Linked DNA regions of Cricetulus griseus. The protein of the gene in region 2 purifies or fractionates together with the protein of the main gene of each other region. This does not show direct contact. Links are inferred from orthologs where the notes say so. Each region holds a gene or a part of one and is shown on either strand. Other genes may lie near its edges.

Region 1 (4,850 bases), on a different chromosome or scaffold from region 2:
AATAATCATAGTCAATAATAATGGTTTGATGTGTGAGACACTTAGCATCTCACACATATTGTATATATATTTTATGAAGTGTTTTCAAATTAGATTGGTTGCTGAATTACACCTTATTTAAGGGACCACTTGAGTCAAATTACACAATAAAATGAAGAAAAATTCTAAATTAAAAATGAATTTACTTTGGTAATAGTATATATGAATTGTATGAATTAATTTTAGTATTAGTAAATTAGTATTAGTATATTTCATTATACCTGTTTCCTGTAGTGTATTAAATATATACCATTTTGTAAGTGTTTTTATAATAGTCTTGAGTTTTTTTAATAATTTTTATTAATTGGTTCATGATTTTAAATATTTAGTTATTTTGTAAGTAGTGTTTCCTTCTTGCCATCTTAATGTTACTATTTTGATTGCAAAGCACATGCTTAAAATTATATTGAATTGCTGCTTACACTTTTAACTCTCTTGTTATAGTCATTCAAATGATTGCACTTTAATTTGCATTGCAGTATCACTGTAGAAAGTTGTAATAATACACAAGGCACAGATGAGACGACTAAGGAAAGTGAAACTTCCCTTTCAGTTTTTATTGATATTGAAGTACCCATTCTGATCTGAAATCTAAAGTTCTGCCGTTAATGTATATTACTTGTTTCTTACTTTAGCAACATTATAATATACAAAAAGAGGGCATTAAAATGAAGCCATAGGGAATGTTTTAAGGTTGGAAGGCAATCCCTTTAGGACACTGACATTATTAGGAGAGCCATCTTTTCCTGGACCATCTCTGGCACTAACTGATAGGCTTGTATATCAGAGTGTTTGTAGTAACTTACTGACTTAAAAAAACAAAACAAAACAAAACTGCTGTATGAGCTATTCTGAGGTTGATAGACATCTGTTTCCCATAAGTGGCTGATAACCTGATTATTTAATCAAAAACTGTCCTGTTAAAATTGACCGAGATGGTAAGGGATCTAAATAGACAAGATCTTTGTGTTCTGCTTCCATCCTGGGATAATTATATGGTGTTTATTCAGTCTGTGGAAGATTTCTACGTTGTAGTTTCAGGACATTGGTTTATTTCTATTCAGTAGTAGGACTTTTTTTGTGTGTGGAAGTGGGAAGTAGAATTCATAATATTGCTGAATTTTGTAACTGTTTCGTGCTTAAATTCCCCACAATATTGTATTGTACTGTATGATTTTTCAGCATTTAAGAAGCGGTTTTGTTCTTTATAGCTGAACCAATAACGTTTCCATCTGGAGGAGGCAAGTCATTTATTATGGGTTCTGATGATGTTTTGTTAAGTGTACTGGGCCTTGGAGACCTTGCAGACTTGACGGTAACAAATGATGCAGACTATAGTTATGATGTAAGTGCAGTTTTATTTTTAATTTTTTAATGATTTAATAGAAGGCTCCTTATTCTTTGGAATCATTTATAACAGTGAATTAATGTCAAGGTGCATGGAAAACATGTTTAAGTGTGTTGATGTGTTGATTTGAAATAACATGTAATTTTGCTTTAAGTTTTTTTCCTTTGTGGTGTATAAATCTTTCTTAGGAATTTTGGTGGATTAGGTAAGAGTTTGGGGTTATTACCTTAAAATATTGGTTGTTAACTACATCTTGAGTAATTAACTCTTACTAAGTTAAAGCCATATTTTAGTGTTAACAAAATAAATACTATCGAAATCAGGTTTTTGCCATCATGAAAAGTCTTAAAAGCCATGTTTTGTTTTTGAGCTCTTATTTTGTCAATCACAACAAAGTTAGCTTGTATCATTTCCTAAATGTTTAGCTTCACTTGAGGGCTAGAAGAAGGAGATAGGAAGAACTGTGTTAGTATTAGACAGGTGTTGATATTTTCCAAGCATAAACACTCGATTAGAGTTAACTATATTTTAGATTTTTTTGCATTCACTTTAGTTTTTCAGCAAATTTCTTCCTTTTTTTAAAAAATTTCTTTTTTAACATTAAAAGAAATTTAGACTTAATTTAGGATGTTTTTTGTAACGATATTTGCCTTGGTGGGCTGGGCTATTGTTACTAATAATTTTTAAAGCATATTTACAACTAAATTGAGTAAACTTTTAACTGCTTTAGAATTGGATTAACAGCTTGTCTTTACTGATACAGAAGTAAAGGTGAAAAGATTGAGCTTTATTATTATGAAGGATTAGGAAAAAGTGCTTGCTCAAAGCCCTGGGCTTGATCCCTAGCACCACATAATCTTGGGCAGCGTAGCTCATTCCTGTAGTCCTAGTATCTGGGAGACAGGGCCAGAAGGATTGGAAGTTAAGGTTAATTACATATGAGCTCAAGGGCAACATGAAACTCTGTCTTTCAAGGAAATTAAAAAAAAAAAAAAAGAAAGATGTAGGAAAATATTCTTAAGGAGTTTTTAGTTCATTGTTTTAAAAGTCCCTTAACTGTCTGCCTTGGAATTGTTCATATACTGGTCAGTTTCCTAAATGGAAACTATTGTGTTTACTGTAACCTTGAGTATTTGGTAATGTTTATATTCTGTTTTGGTTTTGTGTAAACTATTACAGCAGTGACAGTTTTCTGTTCTCATCTATCTCATCTGACATTTGATAGGAGTTTTGGATTTATTTTTTATTTTATTTATTTATTTATTTATTTTGATGATTAGGTGAAAACAGATGATAAAGGAACTCTTCTACCTGGATATTTGAAAGTCTTACAAAATTATTTTTCTGAATTCTTATATTCTGAATTCTTACATAAAGATAGACTTGCTATGGAGTTTTTAAGGTCATTAAAACAGCTTCTGGATATTTTAGTGGAACAGTTTTATATGTTTTAAACACACCAAAAAGAAAACAGAAAGTCCACATGCCTGCCAGTTCGTTACTTTTACCTGTAAATAGTGCACTTTTTCATTTTAGTTGCCGGCCAATAAAGATGCCTTTCGAAAGACTTGGAACCCCAAGTATACACTACGTAGTCATTTTGATGGAGTGAGAGCATTAGCTTTTCATCCTGTAGAACCTGTGCTGGTTACTGCCTCTGAGGACCACACCCTGAAACTTTGGAATTTGCAAAAGACAGTTCCTGCCAAAAAGCAAGTATTTCAATATTGATTGTTTTTTCTTCTTTTAATTTTGTTCATATGGATAATTATTATTCTTTACTATTCCTGTGTTTTAGTATGTCTGTATTGTCAGCCAGTGATTCACAATGATTTACTGTGTTCTCTTCCCCCATCCCTTTTTTCCCTTTTAGGAGTGCCTCTTTAGATGTAGAACCTATCTATACATTTAGGGCCCACATGTAAGTTGGTTTTTTTTTTTTTTTTTTTTGGTTTATTTTTTGAAATAGTACTTAATGAGCAACTATAATCTCCAAACCTAATTTCCCCAATATTTGGTGTTAAAGGAGATATATTAGTTTAATAATGCCTTGTTTGATTAATTATATTTGAATATGATCAAATAGTACTTTTCAGTTGTACATTTTTACCTAAAACCTCATAAATGATTAGATTGAGGGATGTGGGGTTTGAGTTTCTTCTTAGAATTTATAAGTAATTTTTCCTCTCTTTCTATAATAGTGGCCCTGTTCTTTCATTAGCTATTAGTTCTAATGGAGAACAGTGTTTTAGTGGTGGTATTGATGCAACCATTCAGTGGTGGAATATGCCTAGTCCTAACGTGGATCCCTATGATACATATGGTAAGTAAAGGGGCACAATGGATCTTTTCAGTGAATAGACCTGACAGAATTCTGTAGTTCAGATGTTATTACAAAGTTGTTCAAACATATAATTTGTTCATTTAATTCTACTTGCTAGAAAGTTTCTTTATTTAAAAAGACAAATATTATGGCTTGAGAGATGGCTCAGGGGTCAAGAGCATTGGCTGCTCTTCCAGAAGACCCAGTTCAGTTCCCAGTATCCACAATGGCACAACTGTCTGTAACTCCAGTTCCCAGGGTATCTAACACCTTCACACAGACATACATGCAGACAAAGCACCAATGCAAATAAATAAATAAATAAATAAATAGGGTTTTTTTGGGGGGGGGGGAAGACAGGGTTTCTCTGTGTAGCTTTGGAGCCTGTCCTAGTACTCACTCTGTAGACCAGGTTGGCCTCGAACTCACAGAGATCCGCCTGCCTCTGCCTCTCAAGTGCTGGAATTAAAGGTGTGCGCCACCAATGCCTGGCTAAATAAATAGTTTTTTAAAAGAGAGAAATATGCCACGAGTATTTTAGTGCTTGAATTAGTACTTTATTATGTTTAAAGCATATTTCTTAAATGCTAATTTCAGTTAACAGAAGGAAGAGGGGAAAATTATTGAAGTAACACATTTTTAAACTCAAGAGACAGTATTATAATTCTTATGTTAAGTGAAAGATATCAAACAATATAGATAGGATGGTCAGTGTATAATTCATTACAATTTCATGCAGGGCCAAAAATTCCTTAATTCAAAATGAAAAGTAAAACAAAAGTTTGATTTTTACAAATGGCACTTTGAGAAACTTATTCTTGATTAAAAATTTGAGTTAACATGTTCAAATACATTAAGTGAGCATTGTTAATGATTATTTAAAAACAAGAAAAGAAACCAAATGTTTGAGCGCTTCGTTGTTTTTGGCTAACATATACTTGGTGTTCACATTCCATAATGTAAGGCATAATAGTGAGTACTGTGTTCAAAGAAATAAGGTGAATGTGAAAAAAGCAAGGGGCTAAATGACAATAAAATGTAGTACTCTGTATAAGAGTAATCGGTGGAACCTCTTAGATGAGAATCAGGAATGGTCTGTCTGTCTTTAATAATGATGTTGAAGCTAAAAAAGCTAAAGGA
Region 2 (4,386 bases):
GAGTTGCATGCTCTCAAGTGATGTGTCTTTGGTGCATTGTATCAAGGAGATTTGAAATCTGTGCCCTGCCAGTTTTATAAACTGGTCACTTAGTTGAGGTGGTAGCTGCAGCAGCTCCTATTGTTAGTATTGTTAATATTGGTGGAACAAAAGAGAACGAAATCCCTCTAAACTAGCAAGGAATGACTTTAAGGAGGTGGGAACAAACTTCACCAGCCCAGAACAGTCAAGGAGCAGTGTAGGAGCATGATTATGAACACAGCATTGTAGTGCCATTAAACCTCATTATAATTATATAATCATAAATGTCAATGATGACTGGATACATTTTAAATATAATGACAAAGACTTACTTTCCTAAAAGTCAGAGACTTTGAAATTAGAAGATTATCAAATTTCAGTTATTATGAGATAAAACTAAAACATACTTAAAATATCACAAATTAAAGAATGGAAATGGTATGTTGTGAATCAAGTAGATAATTACCAAACATAGCCCTTGACGTGAGTGAGGAGTCTGGTGCGGGTGACCATTAGATTATCCAGGCCATTACTGATGAGCATTGGCTCAGCTCTCCCATGAAAGCTTACCCAAGTTGCTGTTTGCCCAATACTAGCTTCAAGATTTCTGTAGCAAACTTTGGAAGGCAGGCACTTTCTATCATGTCTCGGCACTTGGGACCCTAGGGCAATTATAAATTTGAGAATACTGTGACCAAATGGCAAAATTCTTTCTCAAAAGAAAAGAACAACAACAACAAAAAAAAGGCACGCATACACGGTAAGTAAGCAAATAAATAAAGTGCTTGGCAGAGTTTATGAGGAAAAATGAGATTACCATCTTTGTCTGAAAAGTTCAGTGTATACCTTAAGCTAAGATCTCAGTGGTTACTGAGATCTATAGACTCTTGTACCTAATAATTGTCCAGTATTCTGAGCAGGTACAGAAACTGTTGATCACAGGAGATAACATGATTCCGTAGCCACAGAAGTACTTAGGATTTGAGTTCTGTGTCAAGATTGAATTTAATGATGAAACAATGACCTTTTCTTACTGTTGCAGGGATATAATTGGTGCCATGATCGGAATGTGGTTACCATTTTTAGTGCACCCAATTACTGCTACCGCTGTGGGAACCAGGCTGCTATCATGGAATTAGATGACACTTTAAAATATTCTTTGTAAGTAACTGTACATTTTAATTTATGTAATCACTTTAGAGGGAAAAGGTAACTGGTAAAAAACAGTTAGGGGCTGGAAAGATGGCTCAGCAGCTCTGAGCCCTTACTACAGTCATGAGAACTGAAGTTCAGATCCCACAAAGACCTGTAACTCCAGCTCCAAGGGATCCAACACCCTCTTCTGGCCTCTAAAGATACATGTACATGTGTGCACAGAGTCATATACACACGTGCACGCATGAATAAAATTAATCTTCTTGGAATGAAAACCGTGAAAGAGTTCTGTTCATCGTAAAAATTGTTTTCTTTTGATATGCTGGGCATGCAACCATGGCCTCATTCATACATGCCAGTTCATTGCTATGCCACTGAGCTATACAGCCCAGAAAAGGGTTTTAATTATTTACAGTTCATTGAAATTTTCCCAAGAGCTTATAGGTAATGGAAAAACATTTAACCTTAAGAGAACCATAAGCCAGGTGCAGTAGTACACATACTTAATCCCAGCACTCAGGAGGCAGAGGTTGAGACCAGTCTGGTCTAAGCAGTGAGTTCCAGGACAGCCAGGGAGTACATACAGATACCTTGTCTCAGAAAAACAAACTAACAAGACAGAGAAACCTGTCCATTATAACTACTAGAGGCTTGCATCCCTTACTCACACATTATTCTAACAAAAACAACTATAGTGGAGCTGGAGAGATTGTTCAGTGGTTAAGAACACTAGCTGAGTTCAATTCCCAGCAACCACATGGTGGCTCACAGCCATCTGTAATGAGATCTGGTGCCCTCTTCTGGTATGCAGACAGAACACAGTATACATAATAAATAAATCTTTTTGGGGGGAAGAAAAAAAGAGACTACTTAGGGTACAGGAGTGATGCAAGTTAAATTCCCAGCACCTACATGGCTGTTCACAACCATCTGTAATTCCAAGGGTTCCATCTTCTGACATCTATTTAGTTAGTTAGTTAGTTATTTAGTTAGTTATTGGTTTTTCGAGACAGGGTTTCTCTGTGGCTTTGGAGGCTGCCCTGGAATTAGCTCTTGTAGACCAGGCTGGTCTCGAACTCACAGAGATCCGCCTGCCTCTGCCTCCCAAGTGCTGGGATTAAAGGGGTGCGCCACCACCGCCTGGCTCTTCTGACATCTTTGATCACTGGCAATCATAGCACAAAATTTTAGAAGAAGCTTAAAGTAATAAAACATGTACTACTGGGGGATGTGGCTCCACTGGCCCCTGCTTACCTAGCATACCCCACAAAATGAACCCCCCCCCAAAAAAAAAAAAGAAACAGATAACAGACAAAAAAGGCACTTGATAAAATTCAGTGTGCTTTAAATAAAATCAGTAAGCTACACAGAAGGAAACTTGCTGTGCCTGTAGACAAATACTCACCCTGATTTAGCCAGGTGGTGGTGAGAGACAGCACTGACCCAAAGGCCCTTAAATTGATAATAGTGTCACAAGTATTTTCTGCCAGGCACTAACAACCATGTTACCTAACTTTTCACCATAACTCTGTGAAGTAATATAATTTATCACAGGTAGTGACATGCTCAGAGTTATTCCAGCCACATGGAATGTAGTAGCAGAAGAATACAGAAAGGATGGCTTTGTCTAGTGAGTGTCTTAGTGGCTTAGCTGCTGATTCAATTTCTTTGTCATTTATAGTCTTCAGTTTGACCCAGCACCTCGTCGTGGAGAGCCTCATGTGACCCGGCGTACCCCAGACTACTTCCTGTAAATTCTTCCCCAGGACCTTTCTTTGTATGTGGAAGTATACCTGGCTTTTTAATATATATATATATATATATGTGTGTGTTATATATATATATATATTTAAAAACAAGTCATCTGTGTGTTTCTGTAACAAATTGTGATATGTCTTGACATTAAACTACATCATGGACCAAACGTGCCATACTAATGATGAGCGTTTAGCACAATTTGAGACTGAACTTACTACACTGTGTTCTAGATCAGTCTGCCTGCTGTGTTGTAGGAACCATTCTTCTTGGCTGGTTAAGCAAAAAGGGGTCACTGACTGCTTCATCTCCTTTGCACTTGGAAATTTAGTTACAGTGTTTAACTGGCATGGATTAATAGAGTCGGAGTTTTATTTTTAAGATTTCACAACCTGACTTCCACTTAATTCATTACCCTGTATTTTATTGAAATGTGTAACTAACTGAAGAAGAGATTCTTGGGAGTATGTTGTCATAACATTAAAGAGATTTCCTTTCATTTAAACTAAATTACTGTTTGATGTTGATCTGCATTATTTCTGTATATTTGTCATGACAGTGCTTGCATCCTATTTGGTGTACTGAACAAATAAACTTTCCAATTTAAACAAAAATATTTTAGCTGTGATATGCATTAAGTGGAAGCATCACCATTTTAAAACTTGATACAAATACTTAAGACTGTGGTTATTTGTTTTCCATTTACTTTGGATTTTAAGATGGTCATGTATAGTCCCAAATGACCTTAAACTCCTGGGTTCCCCTGGCTCTACCTCCCAAGTGCTAGGATTACAGGTGTAGGACACCTTGCTGAACCACAATTATCTGATGTGTAATAAAAATAAGCAGCTGTACTGACAGGATTTACATGGTAAGCTTAGGGGCTGGGGATTAACTCTGGTAAGGTGCTCATTTATATTCATTTCCAAGTTACATGCACACATGCAAGTGCACACACACACAAGTAATGCTTGTTTATAGTTTACATTTAGAAGCAGAACAAAGTCAAGTATTTGCTGATAACTTTAGGCCATTAAAAAATCCATTTTCACATTCCTAAACATTTCATTGGGTGGTCTGTATTAACTTATTCTTTTGGGTAGGAGTGGGGAGGGTTGAGACAGCGTTTGTCTATAGCCTTGGCTGTCCTGGAACTTGCTCTGTAGATCAGGCTGGCCTCAAATTCACAGAGACCCACCTGCCTCTGCCTCCCAAGTACTGGGAGAGAGAGTTCCAGGACAGCCAGGGCTGTTACACAGAGAAATCCTATCTCCAAAAACAAAAAAAGATAAAGATATCTTAAGACAGACTCTAAGGGTATCAGTACATACAAAAAAACAACAGCTCACACCCCAAATGTACTTGCTTACTGTAGTTTCAATATGCTCCCCAAAGATCATGTTTCAAAAACTTTGTTCCCAGATTTAAGTCAAAAGTACATAGGATTAGTCCACT
Region 3 (4,850 bases), on a different chromosome or scaffold from region 2:
AGCCAGGCAGTGGTGACTCACACCTTTTACTCCCAGTACTCAGGAGGCAGATGGATCTCTGTGAGTTCCAGCACAGCCAGGACTGTTACACACAGATAGCCTATTTCGGAAAAACAAAACAATACACTTTGATCATGTCATTCTGAAAATCTCCTTCCTAAAGATTGTTGTCTTAATTGAGTATAACCAACATGGCTTACTAAAATTTCACATAATTGCTTCACTGTTACAGGCTGACACTTGCTTGTGGCGGTATAGCTCTGAATTCCTTAGATGACCTGAATCCTGACTGTTTGGGGCATGCAGGTCTTGTCTATGAGTATACATTGGTAAGTGTTTTCTCCTAAAGACAATAGTATTTTCTTTATCAGTGGTTGAGCAGAAAATTTCAAACTCAAAATCAGATTTTATTTTATTTCATTTATTTATTTTTTGGTTTTATGAGACAGGGTTTCTCTGGCTTTGGAGGTTGTCCTGGAACTAGTTCCGGTTTTTTTTTTTTTTTTTTTTTTTTTGGAACAAGTTCTTGTAGACCAGGCTGGTCTTGAACTCACAGAGATCCGCCTGCCTCTGCCTTCTGAATGCTGGGACTAAAGGCTTGTGCCACCAATGCCCTGCTCCTAAACAAGTTTTTGTTTGATTTTTTTTTGAGGCAGGGTTTCTCTGTAGCAGTTCTAGCTATTCTGGGAATCTTTGTCAGCAAAGCTGACCTCAAACTTAGAGGTCCACCTGCCTGTTCCTCCTGAGTGTTGGGATTAAAAGGGTATGCACCACCACCTCCCAGCTTTTCTTAATTTTATGTATTTATTTATTCAATTTGGTTTTTCGAGACAGGGTTTCTCTGTGTAGCTTTGGAGCCTATCCTGGCAGTCGCTCTGGAGACCAGGCTGGCTTGAACTTACAGATCCGCCTGCCTCTACCTTCCGAGTGCTGGGATTAAAGGCGTGCTCCATAAACGCCCGACTAATTTTATGTATTTATTTGAGACAGAGTAATACTATGTTGCCTGGGCTGGCATAGAACTCACTGTATGGCTTTCTGGTTTCTCAAAACAGGGTTTCCTGGCCAGCCTGGTCTACAGAGTGAGTTCCAGGGCAGGCTCCAAAGCTACACAGAGAAACTCTGTCTTGAGAAACAAAAACGAAAAAAGACAGTTTCCCTATGTAACCTTGGCTGTCCCGGAACTTGCTCTGTAGACTAGGCTGGCCTTAACTCAGACATCCTCCTGTCTCGGTCTCTCTAGTATTGGGATTAAAGGCAAATGTCAGCACCACCTTTCTGGATAGGGCTCTTTCACTAAATTTATTCCAGGTTGCTTGTGTGAGGGTTATTTACCACACCCCGGCAATTTGCTAGTGGTTACACCATCTTTAAAAAATTACTTCTCATGCATCTTGGTGGTTTATATGTAATATGAGTTGACTTTAAATTTTTAATTTCTCTTGTGCCTGATTATCCTCCCTTTCAAAAAACCTTGCGGTTTTTTGTTGTTTTAAGATAAGGTTTTACTATACATCCTTGGGTGTGTAAGAACTCATAGAGACCTGTCTGCCTCTGTCTTTCAAGTTCTGGGGTTAAAGGCATGCATCACCGTGCCCCAAGGGTAACTTTTAACAATAATTTCTCTTCTTCCAGGGCGAAGAGAAGTTCACCTTTATTGAGAAATGTAACAATCCCCGTTCTGTCACATTACTGGTTAAAGGACCAAACAAGCACACACTGACTCAAATCAAAGATGCAATAAGAGATGGCTTGAGGGCCGTCAAAAATGCTATCGATGATGGTAAGCAGCATGCTGTGCTTGACTTGTGCTCTTTTTAGTCTTAAAGGCATGGCTGAATACTGTGTTCTTTAGTCAATAATTTACACAGCCAGACACCATGCAAAAGTAAAGTCTTCCTTTAAAATGATTGGTATGCTGTTTTTTTTAATAGTATATCATTATTAAAAGTAAGTACAAATAAATTATTAAAGCTGGTGGCTCTTGAGCTACCAATTAGAATGTTTTGCTCTTGGTTGTGGTTGCTCATATTGTGACTCAAGAGGCAGGTCTGTGCTGGGGTGTTACTGTTGGTAAGGCACCTACTTAGCATATGAGGATAGATGTACCCACATGTCTATCACCCAGTACTGCAAGAATATATAAATGCATATAACTAAATAATATTGTTCTGAAATAATTTTATTCTGTATTTGCTGGGTTGGGTTTTGTTTTGTTTTGTTTCTCTATGACTTCTCCTTCCCTTGTCCACAGGCTGTGTTGTCCCAGGCGCTGGTGCAATAGAAGTGGCAATGGCAGAAGCTCTGATTAAATACAAGCCCAGCGTGAAAGGCAGGGCTCAGCTGGGAGTCCAGGCATTTGCAGATGCCTTGCTCATTATTCCCAAGGTTTGAATATTTACCTTAGTTTTCCTTGCTGACAACCTTTGGGATGCAGTCATTTGTTTATGCTAGTTTCCTGAACTATGCCAAGCTAGGCAGGGTGCCACATGCCTTTAATCCTAGCACCTGTGAGGCAGAGGCAGGCTGGTCTTGGCCAGCTGTGTACATAACATTTCAGGCCAGCCAGCAGTGTTTGTAGCAAGAGATAGTCTGCCTCAGACCTGGGTGGGTAGAATTTAGAACACCCACCCTACCACACCTGGGGTAGGCAAGCTCTAAGTGTCCACAGCTGTACAGAGGAGAATGGAAAAAAGAAAGCCAGCATGGAGGTTGGTCACAAAGTGAAGACTAGCAGCCATATAGCAAGGCAAGAGACAAAGTGGACAGATCAGAACTGCATGGCAGCAGCCCAGTAGGCCATTGCTTGCATGGGTTGTTGAAGGATGAGCTTCTTTTTACTTGAGCAAAACTAATGGCCTTGTCATCATGAGCTACTCAGTAAAGGTGAGGGCTTATGACCAGTACTGGGGGAGTGGGGGTGTCTATTCTCTGGAGAGAACATGAATAATGAATGGTTCTATCTCAGTGCATGCAAACCACTGTCCTGTTTGTTTATTTATTTGGGGCAAGAAGGGGTGTGCTATAGCACATAAGGAGGTCAGAAGCCTGCTTTCAGGGAACTTATTTTTAATTGGAAATACTGTAAGTTTATTTAACATTCAGTTTTCAGTTTGTTTCTTCAAGAATTAAATTTGTTTGCTAGGTTCTTGCACAGAACTCTGGTTTTGACCTTCAGGAAACATTAGTTAAAGTTCAAGCTGAACATTCAGAATCGGGTCAACTTGTCGGTGTGGACTTGAACACAGGTGAGATTGTACTTCTTTGTGGGGGTAGACTAGATTAGATGCAGGAAAACTGGGGAAAGTGAAAATGCCTGGGGGATCTTGCTGTGCCTCCCTGGTTTGGAATCAGTCCTGCCCTTCTAAGTTGATGTTACCCATAACTGTACCAACTAGATATGGAGACTGGGGCATGGGATGGATATTTTAAATGGTGGAGTAAAGCTAGTGGCATGATCGTAACCCTGCTTTTTAGCCCCTATAACACAAATGTACAATATAAAGCAGAAGGCCTACTGTCCATACTCACTAACTTAATTGAAGAGATTGCTGGAATGAGGGAAGTCAACAGGAATGAGTCCATAGCAGAGGGGGGTCTAAATGCTTGCTCAGCAGCTAGTGCTTTGTCATAAAGAGATATGAACCACATGGCCAAGATTCTGGAAAGGAGTGGTGAATAGTCAGTGATAACCAGTACTGTTGCTTCATATTTTAAAGATTTGAAGTTGTCTTTGACTACATAGCAAAATCCTGTCTAAGATAGTCCAAATTGGTCCTTGTTTTCTGTTCTAGAATTGGTGGGGTTTGTTCATAAATAGGATGATTTCTTGAAAAAGGTAAAGGTATTCGATTGGGGCTAGAGAAAGATAGTTAAGAGCAATAGTTGCTTTTCCAGAGGACCTGGGTTCCAGTACTAGCACCCACATGGCAGCTCACAACTGGTGTTACTTCAGTTCCAGGGGCTCTGATACCCTCAGGCATGCGTGCAGTTAAAAGACCAATGCATGTGAAATAAAAATCACTTTTTAAATTAAAAAGAAAGGGGCATCTGATAATTTGTGGTTTCAAGGTGTGGTATTTATTTTTCAGGTGAGCCAATGGTGGCAGCAGAGATGGGTGTGTGGGATAACTACTGTGTCAAGAAGCAGCTGCTTCACTCCTGGTGAGTTTGGAAACTTGAGCCAGCTGTTATTGTTTAGTTGGGCAGGTTGAAATCATGTTAGTGTCTGAGCTGTCTTCTTTTTCCTTCCAGTACTGTGATCGCCACCAACATTCTCCTGGTTGATGAGATCATGAGAGCGGGGATGTCCTCTCTGAAAGGCTGAGGAAGTCCCTTGTCACTGCATCTGTAATAATACAGAATGGTGTGGGAAAATGGTCATTTTTGTCCAAGTGATTTGGAAAAGAATTTCCTCTTTCCGGTTGAAGAAAAGGAACAAGACATTTGGCACCTATTCAAATTACAATACTGTAAAAAAAAAAATTTTCATTCACTGAGTGTATGCATATGCTCAAAAAGTGGGCCCTTTTTAACCCACTGAAAAACATGTTTTAACTACATTGACACAAAAATTACATATTAAGATGAGTGTGTTGTCTACCTTGTTCCTTAAATGTTCTTCAAAAAAATTGTAATGGTTTTTTTTTAACAGCATGGTGGTGCTTGCCTCTAAGCCTAGCACTTTGGAAAAGAGGTTCAGAAGTTCTGCTCCAACTCAGGATACAGGAGACACCCCCCCCCCCACTCAAAAGAATCATTTTCCCCCTCGTGGTTGTATTTTAAATTAGCCAACTAACTCCCTGTTAAACATGTAAGATTCTTGCCAGTGCAGAACACATCTGGGTAAT
Region 4 (4,850 bases), on a different chromosome or scaffold from region 2:
ACAAGAGGGGTGTCTAGGATTCTACAGACACCTCCAGAGGCACACAGTGCTACTTACTATATAGCCTTGGAAGCCCCACATGTCAGACCTCTGGCCTCCAGAGCTACAACAGAGTCTATCTGTGCCCTTTCCAACCACTGTGCCTAGGCTTGTTGCAGCAACAAGAGAGAACACGCCGTACTTCTGAAAGACTCCACGGTCTTGATATACCATCCAAGACGGAACACTGAACCTCTAACGTGTAAAACACTTCAGGGGAGAAGTAAGGTAGCAGCCAGTGAGATGATCAACGTGCCTTCTACTGAGTGGACCGGTCTGCCTGGGATCTGCCCAAGGTGCCTGTGCATAGGGAGATGTGTACACAAGCATGCTCACTGCAGCTGGAGGAAAACAATAAACCAGGGTCATTTGGGGCTGGGGAGATGGTCCTTCAGATAAGAGGCACACTTGCCACCAAGTCGGCTGACCTGAGCCGGATCCCTCAACCCACATGGTGAAAGGAGAGAACTTACTCCCACAAGTTGTTCTGAAACCAACACATGAGCACCAGGCCATGCATGCACGCACGCGCGCGCGCACACACACACACACACACACACACACACACACATTAAATAAATAAATGTAATAACCATATTCTGAAAGGGGATCCTTTGTCAGGCTTTAACGAGGGTCCAAAGCAGCTGGGTAGGTATCTGGGAGAAGAAGTGCAAGACTGGCTGTTTTTAAAAGTGTTTTTGCCTAGCAGTGGTGGTGCACACCTTTACTCCAGCACGCACTAGGGAGGCAGAGGCAGGTGGATCTCTGAGTTGCCTACCGAGCAAGTTCCAGGACAGTCAGAACTACACAGAGAAACCCTGTCCTGAAAAAACAGAAGTGTTTTCAAAGAGAAAGATGCAGAGTGTCCTGATTACTGTCTAATTCTTGGTATGAAGCAATTTTGTATGCGCGCACACATCTGGGAGAACACTAGTTATGGGCCTGTGCAGACTGCTCACCTGGCAGTAACAGGGAAAGGGAAGCCCTTCTCCCACTATTTTACCTCATGGAAGAGATGTCTGCAACCAAACATTTGCAGGAGGAGGGCAGAGCCCTAAAAATGCAGAGAGACCCAGACAAGTTCAGAAACCCAGGACCCTGACTTCCAACTCCACAACTTGGCCTTTTTCAAAATATTAAGCCTAAATTTCAAAAGCATTTATTCTGCAAATACCATGCGCAAATGTCAGCTGAGGTTAGATTCAGCAGTAAGGAAGGCAAACACCCTCCACAGTCCTCCCTTCACAGAGCAGAAGTGCAGAGAGCCCCTGTGCAGATTCATTAGCACATCAAACAGACTACAAAGGTCACCTGGCCTGGTAGTTTTAATTGTCAATTTGATACCGTCTAGAACTTTAACAGGCAGAAATGCAAACACTCTAAAACACTTTTGTCTTTTACTCTATCAGACTACTGAAACAGTGGGCACCAAAGACATTGAAATTTCCCCCAGGAATCTCACACTGGGAGAAGGAGAGGGAGACAGCCAGAGGGGAACCTATCTCCTTGGAAGAGATTTGGTACAGTACAAGATGAGACTCAAACCCAAAGGTACATCCACCAGGGGTGGGACCATGCTTTGACCAGAGCTGCTTACATGTGCAAATCCTTGGTCCCTTATGTAAACTTCTATCTCACCGTAGGACCTGGAAAACAGACTTGAGGGGTCTAGCTGGCTCTTTGTCCCCTTCCCCAATGTGGCCAGTGACTAAATCTTCCTTTTCTGCTTTCCACTATGAATTTGGCCTTTTTATCGCCTCACTGAGGACAAGTAGCCAGACCTGATTTGGGGTTACAGGTTGTGACCCGCTCCCCCAGCCAAGTTCAGTAACAGAACCACATGGAAAGGGGACTCAGAACATGGTACGGAGGGATTATTTTAATTATACCCATCGATGTGGGAGGCCATGCATAGTGAGTGACTCTGTTCCCAGGCAGTGTTCTTGAGGTCTAGGTCGGAGTCAGGACCCAGCAGGCTGACTCTGCTGCAATGGATGGCTCCCCACTTGGGTACCTAGACAGCATGAGTGGGTTCGGGGAGTTAAATAAAATGCAGACACAAAGCTGGGGGGCGAGGGAGGAGCTAGGGGGAGGAGCAAATGGTGACTATAATCAAAACACTTGACACGGAATTCCCAAAGAAGTCATAATATATATACATATGTATATATACATATTTAAATAGGAAGGTAGCCAAGCACGTGTATGCATTTATCAACCGTTCTCCATTTCCAACCATGGGTATGATGTGACCGGTTCCTCTGTGACTTCCCATGTCACCGTGAGCTGTAACCCACATGCCAAATGAGCACATTCTCCCTTAAGTCAGAGAATTTTATCTCGGCAAGGAAGGAAGGAAGATATCCGGGATCCTGCTACCTCAGTGACCCCCCTCTTGAGATTATCAGAATTTATCTTCTGAAAGTATTCTAAATTATTGCCGCCAACCCCCCCCCCCCCGTGATCGCTTTCTTTTTAAAACTATATCCCAGAAAGACAGCTAACACGTGTACAAATGTCTGCGCACTGCTAATAAAGTACACCATGGATACGGCTGCCGCCACGAGTTCACTAGTAAGCACAGGGACGGCTGTGGGCTTGGTACCCGCACTGATTCAGCAGACAGGAACTCGGGGGGTTGGGAGCCACGTACGCTGTAACTGGGCAGCCCGCAGCTGCTTCTTCAGCCGCTCCACTTCGTTCTTTAAAAACCTGATATGCCTCATCATGTTCTCAGGAGAGTCGATCTCCATGGAGATGTCTCTAGGTGATGGTGGGGCAGACACGGGCTGATCTAGTTTCTCCTGTAGGATTCTTCACGGAAAAGAAAAAGGAAAAAAAAAAAAAAAAAGAAACAATGAATAACAGTTTGCGGTAGAACACTATTCAGCATTTGAGCCGAGAGCCGGCCTGAAAATCGCCCATTGGACAGACTGACACCTCTCTGTCCATCCTGACCAATTATCACTGGTCAAACAGGAAGACTGGCAAGATCTCATTTCTGTTGTGTTTATTGTGTGTTCAGGTGTTAGCACAGGTGTACCTGGGGTACCCGCACATGGAAGTGAGAGGACATTCTTAGGTATGGGTCCTCGCCTCTCCCCTCTGCAACGAGGTCTCTTCTTCTCTGCTGCTAAGCAAGGTAAACTGGCCCCAGGCTTCTGGGAATTCTCCTGTCTCCACCTCCCATCTCACTTTAGGAGCACACTGGGATTACACGCATGGGCTAGTGTATCCAGCTTTATGTGGGTACTGGGAATCTCAACTCAGGCCGGTCCTCAGGCTTTGTGCAGCAAATACGACACCACGGAGCCATCATCCCTGTTCCTTCTGCTCTTTGAGTGACCCTGGCAGTCAATCATAACTGTGAAGTCTGTTGAACACGTTTCTGGTTACTATGCCCAGAGTCCAGCAAACCTAGCTGACTGTATGGTTAGCAAGCTGGCTGCGGAGGATGGAGGGAATAAAGAAATTCTCCCCTCTTGATGCTCTGGGTGAAATTTAGGAACTGCTATGAATTGCCCCGGAGGATGAAGTTACTTAATAGCCACTAGAGCTCCTCCCAAGTAAAACTTGGGTGGAAGGTTTGGAAAACTGGGGCCAACAATAAAATGTTAAAAAAAAACACCCAAACCAAGTCAGAATTATTTGGTTAATGGCTGGTGTGCCCACTTCCCTACCAATTATCATTATCAGATAAAACTCAGAAAAGGCTCAACAGCATTTTACCTACAAAATGACCACTTCCTACAGCTAAGTTCAATAACAATACAATTATATGTACATAAAGCCTCTAACTGCATTCCAAAAAGGCAGGCTAACTGCAACCCTCTTTAACCACCTTTTATAAGCTGCTGGGGGCTCCTGGGGTTTGCTTTATATTGAATTGTTTACCTCTCAATTTGACACAACTGTAAACGGACTTACCTGCAGTTCTACCCTAGTTGAGAAAATTAATAGGTAAATGTGGTCGCAATCACAAAATAACTTCAAGATTCAATGTATTAGAACTGCTACCATAGTGCTGAGTGGTTATGGCTGGAGGATTTTTCCTAACATATATTTCAAATCTTCACTTTTCTTAAGCTCTGTGGTTGGCTGTTTGTAATTCTACATATGAACTCAGAACAGTGTGGAACAGAATGGCACAGGCTTCTCAGAGACAAACACAGGATTCTGGGGCAGGGAACTAATAATCAACTTAAAAGGAAACTCGCCTTTATCCCATACAAAGCTCCGAGACAGGATCTTCCTGCCATTCCCAGAAGCCTTGTCCCTTCCAACCCCCAAGTACAGAGTGACCAAAAACGAGGACGAAGGCAATCTGCAACAAGGTAATTTAGGAAATGTCTGTTGTTGGTGTTGGGTGACATTTTATATCTGTGTATGTACACTGAACACACAAGTATTAAATATCCACAGGTATTTATTTACAGTGGGTTTAAAAGCAAACGGATAGCCATTTTTCTATGAAAATCCCCCAACTAAGTAAATCTTAGCGATGCACACTAACAGGTGAACTGTGGCACCGTGGATGACTCTGACTTGGCCTTGTATCAACAAATAAAAAGAATCCCGAACTTGAGAGAGAAGAGCCACGCATAGAGCAGAGACAACCATAAGAGAGATCAACATATATTTCCCTTAACAAGTTAGGATGGTCTGTGTCACCCAAGCAATTCACATGTCCCACTGTTATCCCTAGTTAACAGACTCGAAATACCCATGCCCGCAGGCAGGCAGGCAGGCGCGCGCATGCGCGCATGCACGCACGCACGCACGCAGGCACGCAGGCCCGCGAGCAAGGCTAA
Region 5 (5,127 bases), on a different chromosome or scaffold from region 2:
ACATTTCATCTCCCATTCCATTAGGTGGATTTTACTGACTTACAAGTTTTAGGGAACTGGGATGTCTTTAAATATCTAAATATTTGAGTTATTGTCTGTTTTGTTACTTGGGGATGGGGACGCTAGGTCCCATTTAGTCCAGGCTGGCTTGGACTAATCCTTAACTCCTAATCCTTTCTCCTCAGCCTCCCAAGGACGAGGATTATGGGTATGTGCCACCACACCTGGCACCTGGGTGTCAAATGGTCTTTAGAAAAATGGAAATTATTTGACGTACCACAGATTTAAATTATTGTGGCTCAAAAGATAGTGTAATTGAAGTGTAACTTCTATAGTATGTACTAAATGAACCCCTCCCAGTTTATTTCTGCAAGGCTTTTAATAGACTTAAAATTCATAATGCATATGCTTTTCATGGTCTTAATAACTAAAAACTATTTTTTTTATCTTACTTTCACAGGAGATTGAAAGTCAGATTGACAGAATCTGTGAAATGGGAGAAGTGATGAGAAAAGCAGTTCAGGTGGATGATAATCAGTTTTGCAAGATTCAGGAAAAACTAGCTCAACTAGAGGTAAGGTGGTTGCTGTTTAAGTTCACCCTTATTTTTAGCAGTTTTTATAGGATCTCAGAATATGTCATCACTATACTATCAGTGCAGTGTATGAGGGAGGGTGTTGTCTCAGAATGTGGCCTGGACTGGCCTAAAACTCAAAATTGTTTTGCATCATCCTCCCATGTTGTCTTAGTAGTGTTATGTTAGCAATTAGTACTAGCAGTATTGATGTTCTCTCTGTCCTAATCGTTTAAAATTAAAATTTCTCCATTATACCCTTTTCATAGAAACAATGCAATCAACATCAATCAGTGGAATTGTGGGGCTGAAAGGACAGAGCTCAGTTGGTAAAATGCTTGTGTAGCATAAGCCCTGGGTTCGGTAACCAGTACCTCAGATATACTGAGTATGATGGTGTATAGCTGTAACCCCAGCTTTTGGGAGATAGAAGGGGTGTGTGTGAGTGTGTGTATAATACCATATCATATATTTAATATATATTGTTAATAATATATATTTAAAAAGCAGAGAGAGAAGAACAGGTCATATGTAACCTGAAATCCTTCATGTGCCAAAATAGGAAGTCAGATACATAATATCTAAACTTAATGGTCAAGAAGCGGCAGTATGGAAGCTGGGTAGTGGTATTATACACCTTTTATCCCAGCACTCAGAAGGCAGAGGCAGGCAGATCTCTGAGTTCAAGGCCACCCTGGTCTACAGAGTGAGATCCAGGATAGTCAGGGCTAGACCAAGAAACCCTGTCTCAAAAAAAAAAAAAAAAAAAAAAAAGTGGAGGTTGGAAAGATGGCTCAGTGATTAAGATCACTGGCTAGAGGACTTAGGTTCAATTCCCAGCATCCCAGCTCATAACTGTCTGTAACTGCTGGCACAGCAAGTAGTACACAGGTGTACATGTAGACAAAACACTCACACACAAAATGAAGAGGTCTTTTAAGAAAATAACTAGTATATCATAAAAAAAAGATGTAGAAATGAAGCTGGGGTGTAGCTCAGTTAATAATAAAGTACTTACTTTGCAGTCATGAGGCCCTGGCTTGGATCCCTAGCACTTTATAAACTAGGTATTGTAGCATACACTTATGTCACAGAGCTAAAGAGTTAGTGACAGGAGGATCGAGAGTTTTGAGGCCAGTCTGGGATACTTAGTGAGTTTGAAGACAGCCTCTGCTGTATAAGACCCTGTCTCAAAAAAACATACTAGGGTCTGGAGAGATGGCTCTGCAATTAAGAGCACTTTCTGCCCTTGGGAGGACCTGGGTTTGGTTTCCAACACCTACATGGCCACTCACAATAATCCCTCACTAATTCCAGGGGATCTGACTCCCTTTCCTGACCCACAAGGATACCAAGCATGTATGTAATGCATGCACAAACAGAGACACATATATGCATTCAAACACACATAAATAATATGAATAAACCATGTTGTTTTTAAATGTTATTTTATGTGTCTGAATGTAAAAAAATATGAAGAGAATACATTTCAGTAGAAGATTTGAAGGTTTGACTGCTTATTTCAAGTGCTGCCGTGGGAACTTGAAGAAGTTCCTTAGCTGGGCAGTGGTGGCGCACGCCTTTAATCCCAGCACTCGGGAGGCAGAGGCAGGTGGATCTCTGTGAGTTGGAGACCAGCCTGGTCTACAAGAGCTAGTTCCAGGACAGCCTCCAAAGCCACAGAGAAACCCTGTCTCGAAAACCAAAAAAAAAAAAAAAAAAAAAGAATCTATAACTCTAGTTCCAGAGATCTGATGTCCACTCAGATGGCGCACATAAATAGGTACAGGCAAAACACACATAACACATAAGTCAAAATGAGTTGAGTACTAAAAGAAGCAGTTTATATGGTGGAGGATTTGTTGATCATACTGTTCAACCTTTTGGTGAAGCTAGAAACTCTGCAGTTATCAATATGTCCTGTAAAGAGCACACACTTGTAATCCCAGCACTTAGGAGGTAGGAACAGAAGGATCAGGAGTTCCAAGTCAACCTCCACTACATCAGATCATATCCCAAAATAGAGAGAAGAGAATTTTCTACAGAGATGATAAAGATGGAGTGTAAGGTGCCCTATCTAGATAGAAATCAAAGGAAGTGACAGGTGTCAAGTGCCAAAAGTAGTAGTGGAATTGTGAACTAGAGAGATGGCTCAGTTGTTAGAGCACCTATTGCTCATACAGAGGCCCTGGGTTCAATTCTGAGCCCCCAAATGGCGGTAACACAACTTATGTAACTCTAGACCCAGGGCATCCAGTGTCCTCTTCTGACCTTCTAGGGTACCAGGCATTCACATGGTGCACAGGCATACATGTAGACAAAACACTCAATACACATACAATAATCAAGTAAATCTAAGAAGAAAAACATTTAAGGTCCAGGTGTGGTGGTGCACGCCTCTAATCTCAGTACTCAGGAGGCAGAGACACGCAGATAGCTGTGAGTTTAAGGCCAGCCTGATCTACATATCGAATTCTAGGCCAGCAAAGTCTACTTAGTGAGACTGTCTCAAAAATGTTTTTTAATCATTTAAAACTTTAAAATTATTTTTCTTCTTTCTGGCCCCAAACAATATGTTCTGACACTGTTTAACAGTTAAAATACAGGAAATATCTTTTTTCCCCAGCTTGAAAATAAGGAGCTTCGAGAATTACTGTCCATCAGCAGTGAGTCTCTTCAGGTTGGAAAGGAAAATTCTGTGGATCCCGCTTCCCAGCCCATCAAATAACTGAACTTCTGAATGCTGGCTGCAGATGGCCCGACAAGGAGAGGAGTGACTGTCTCTCCCTAAGATGTGTCCATTCAAGTGTCCTGCTGCAGACTTGATTCAGTGTTGATCAGAGGGATGAGCTAGCAATTCGGAATTGCTGTTCATTATCCACAAACAATTTGGGTTTTATTAGTAAAATAGAGGCGTCTCACCATTCCTTTGTCAGAAATTCCGTTTAGTTTGACTCTGGGACCTGAATTTATATAAACTGTTTTCAGTTATTTTTGTTTTTCATATCTCTGAAACCCTAAACATTTTATTATAAACCAGTGATTTTATTTTATATAGGATTATAAAATTGACTTCTAAGAATTTTTAAGAGATCAAACTTTTAAAAAGTACATGTTTGGTGTAAACCTGAATATTTTTTTTTCCACTTTAAAAGTAACATGATCCACAGAAGCAAATTGTGAGACTCTCTGAGTTGCATCATCATTCACCTGTGGAGTTTGGATTCGCTCTGGTGCTAGGAGTTGGCCCTTCGTGGTCAGGTGTCTTTACTCTTAATTTGAGAGAATCTATTAGTAGTCCCCAGGAAATATACTTGAAAACAAGTCACCTAGGTTTGGGTTGTTTCTCCTCCTCCTCCCAAGGATCATTTAGTCATTCAGAGAATTCTGAGCACTTGATTTAAATGCCAACAGTAGCTTTTATTTATATGATCAAGTAGTCAGTTTTCCATTTTGTTTGACTAGGGAATCTTCAGCTTAGGTGGTTTGCCAACTATGAAGAACATATCAGATTTCCACGCGTCATAGTTGAAACATAGCTATGATGGTGACAAATGGCACTGCTTGGATGGCTTATCACCGGCAGTGAGCTGTCTTAGATCTGGTTGGTTTTTACACGGAAGCATTTTTTATCGCCCACAGAAAGTTACTATGTTCCTGATGCCATGCAGGCAATTGAGAACAGTACTGAGATTCGGGTGCAGGGAGGATCTACTAATTCCCTTGCCAGCCTTCCCTGTCTTGGTTTACTCAAATTTATAAATAATTCCTTTTACACTATTTGTTTACCCAAAATGGCTGAAGAAATCTTAATGCTATCAATATTTGCTGATACTAAGCACCATACCACATGAGAAAGATTGTCTTAAAAGAAAAAGAATCTAGTGTTTTATGTGTTGTAAAGATTCTTTGTTATGGTCCTAAGAACTAATTCCAGCTAAAACAACAAAATCTATCCAGAATGTTCTGAGTCCATCTGATCCCATTAATACCTATGGACTTTAATTAGAGTAGTGGACAGCTCCAGCTGTTTGCCTTGAAAGATCCCCTAAGTGCCCAAAGTGTACTCCACAAGCCCATCAGGAGCAGGTGTCCTCTGCCACTTGTCAGCTGGCAGTCAGGTTTCAGTGAATATGGTAGTGTTAGCAGATAGTCTGTTTCAGCAGTGTACACAGTACACTTTATCTGCCTTACGTTCCTCTTTACATCTTAGCCACCAGAATATCTTCCTTTTAGTCCTGGGGATATACTGAGCTTTCAGTGCCCTGTGCCATATAAATTCTGCCTGGTGTTAATGCTTTGAAGGTAATAGAGAGCTAGCATATTGAATGGAGAAGGAAGTTCTTCACTTTGTGTGAAGATGTTAATGTCTCTTGCAGTGGATAGAAGAATTTAGTGTATGAAATTTTAGTTTGAAATTATATTTGCTAATAAAAACTTCTCGGGAAGATTTGCTAATTTTACTGAATAATGTGTCTAATTAAGTGTAGAGGAGCTGGGCAGTGGTGGCACATGCTTTTAATCCTAGCACTCAGGAAGCAGAAACAGGATAT

What was found.
Region 1: the proteins of Ppp2cb (region 2) and Strn3 purify together in Homo sapiens (affinity purification with mass spectrometry; 5 studies listed by BioGRID and IntAct, counting the BioPlex papers as one, with this or other methods). This does not show direct contact. The link is inferred for Cricetulus griseus from reciprocal best matches to the Homo sapiens genes PPP2CB and STRN3.
Region 3: the proteins of Ppp2cb (region 2) and Cct6a purify together in Homo sapiens (affinity purification with mass spectrometry; 4 studies listed by BioGRID and IntAct, with this or other methods). This does not show direct contact. The link is inferred for Cricetulus griseus from reciprocal best matches to the Homo sapiens genes PPP2CB and CCT6A.
Region 4: the proteins of Ppp2cb (region 2) and Ccdc6 purify together in Homo sapiens (affinity purification with mass spectrometry; 3 studies listed by BioGRID and IntAct, counting the BioPlex papers as one, with this or other methods). This does not show direct contact. The link is inferred for Cricetulus griseus from reciprocal best matches to the Homo sapiens genes PPP2CB and CCDC6.
Region 5: the proteins of Ppp2cb (region 2) and Sike1 purify together in Homo sapiens (affinity purification with mass spectrometry; 3 studies listed by BioGRID and IntAct, counting the BioPlex papers as one, with this or other methods). This does not show direct contact. The link is inferred for Cricetulus griseus from reciprocal best matches to the Homo sapiens genes PPP2CB and SIKE1.

What each region holds. Positions count from the first base shown.
Region 1 is NC_048598.1:150,652,370-150,657,219, forward strand, and holds part of Strn3 (striatin-3), read left to right. Parts: intron 1-1,250; coding exon 1,251-1,384; intron 1,385-2,923; coding exon 2,924-3,099; intron 3,100-3,260; coding exon 3,261-3,308; intron 3,309-3,588; coding exon 3,589-3,710; intron 3,711-4,850. UniProt on the Homo sapiens protein: Calmodulin-binding scaffolding protein which is the center of the striatin-interacting phosphatase and kinase (STRIPAK) complexes.
Region 2 is NW_023276807.1:51,171,271-51,175,656, reverse strand, and holds the end of Ppp2cb (serine/threonine-protein phosphatase 2A catalytic subunit beta isoform), read left to right. Parts: intron 1-1,063; coding exon 1,064-1,182; intron 1,183-2,857; coding exon 2,858-2,930; 3' UTR 2,931-3,441; downstream 3,442-4,386.
Region 3 is NC_048597.1:109,117,050-109,121,899, forward strand, and holds part of Cct6a (T-complex protein 1 subunit zeta), read left to right. Parts: intron 1-232; coding exon 233-329; intron 330-1,635; coding exon 1,636-1,783; intron 1,784-1,829; exon of another isoform or gene 1,830-1,962; intron 1,963-2,254; coding exon 2,255-2,388; intron 2,389-3,145; coding exon 3,146-3,248; intron 3,249-4,091; coding exon 4,092-4,164; intron 4,165-4,254; coding exon 4,255-4,327; 3' UTR 4,328-4,850. UniProt on the Homo sapiens protein: Component of the chaperonin-containing T-complex (TRiC), a molecular chaperone complex that assists the folding of actin, tubulin and other proteins upon ATP hydrolysis.
Region 4 is NW_023276806.1:267,513,514-267,518,363, forward strand, and holds part of Ccdc6 (coiled-coil domain-containing protein 6), read right to left. Parts: intron 2,854-4,850; coding exon 2,693-2,853; intron 1-2,692.
Region 5 is NW_023276806.1:53,970,969-53,976,095, reverse strand, and holds the end of Sike1 (suppressor of IKBKE 1), read left to right. Parts: intron 1-460; coding exon 461-574; intron 575-3,200; coding exon 3,201-3,302; 3' UTR 3,303-3,762; downstream 3,763-5,127.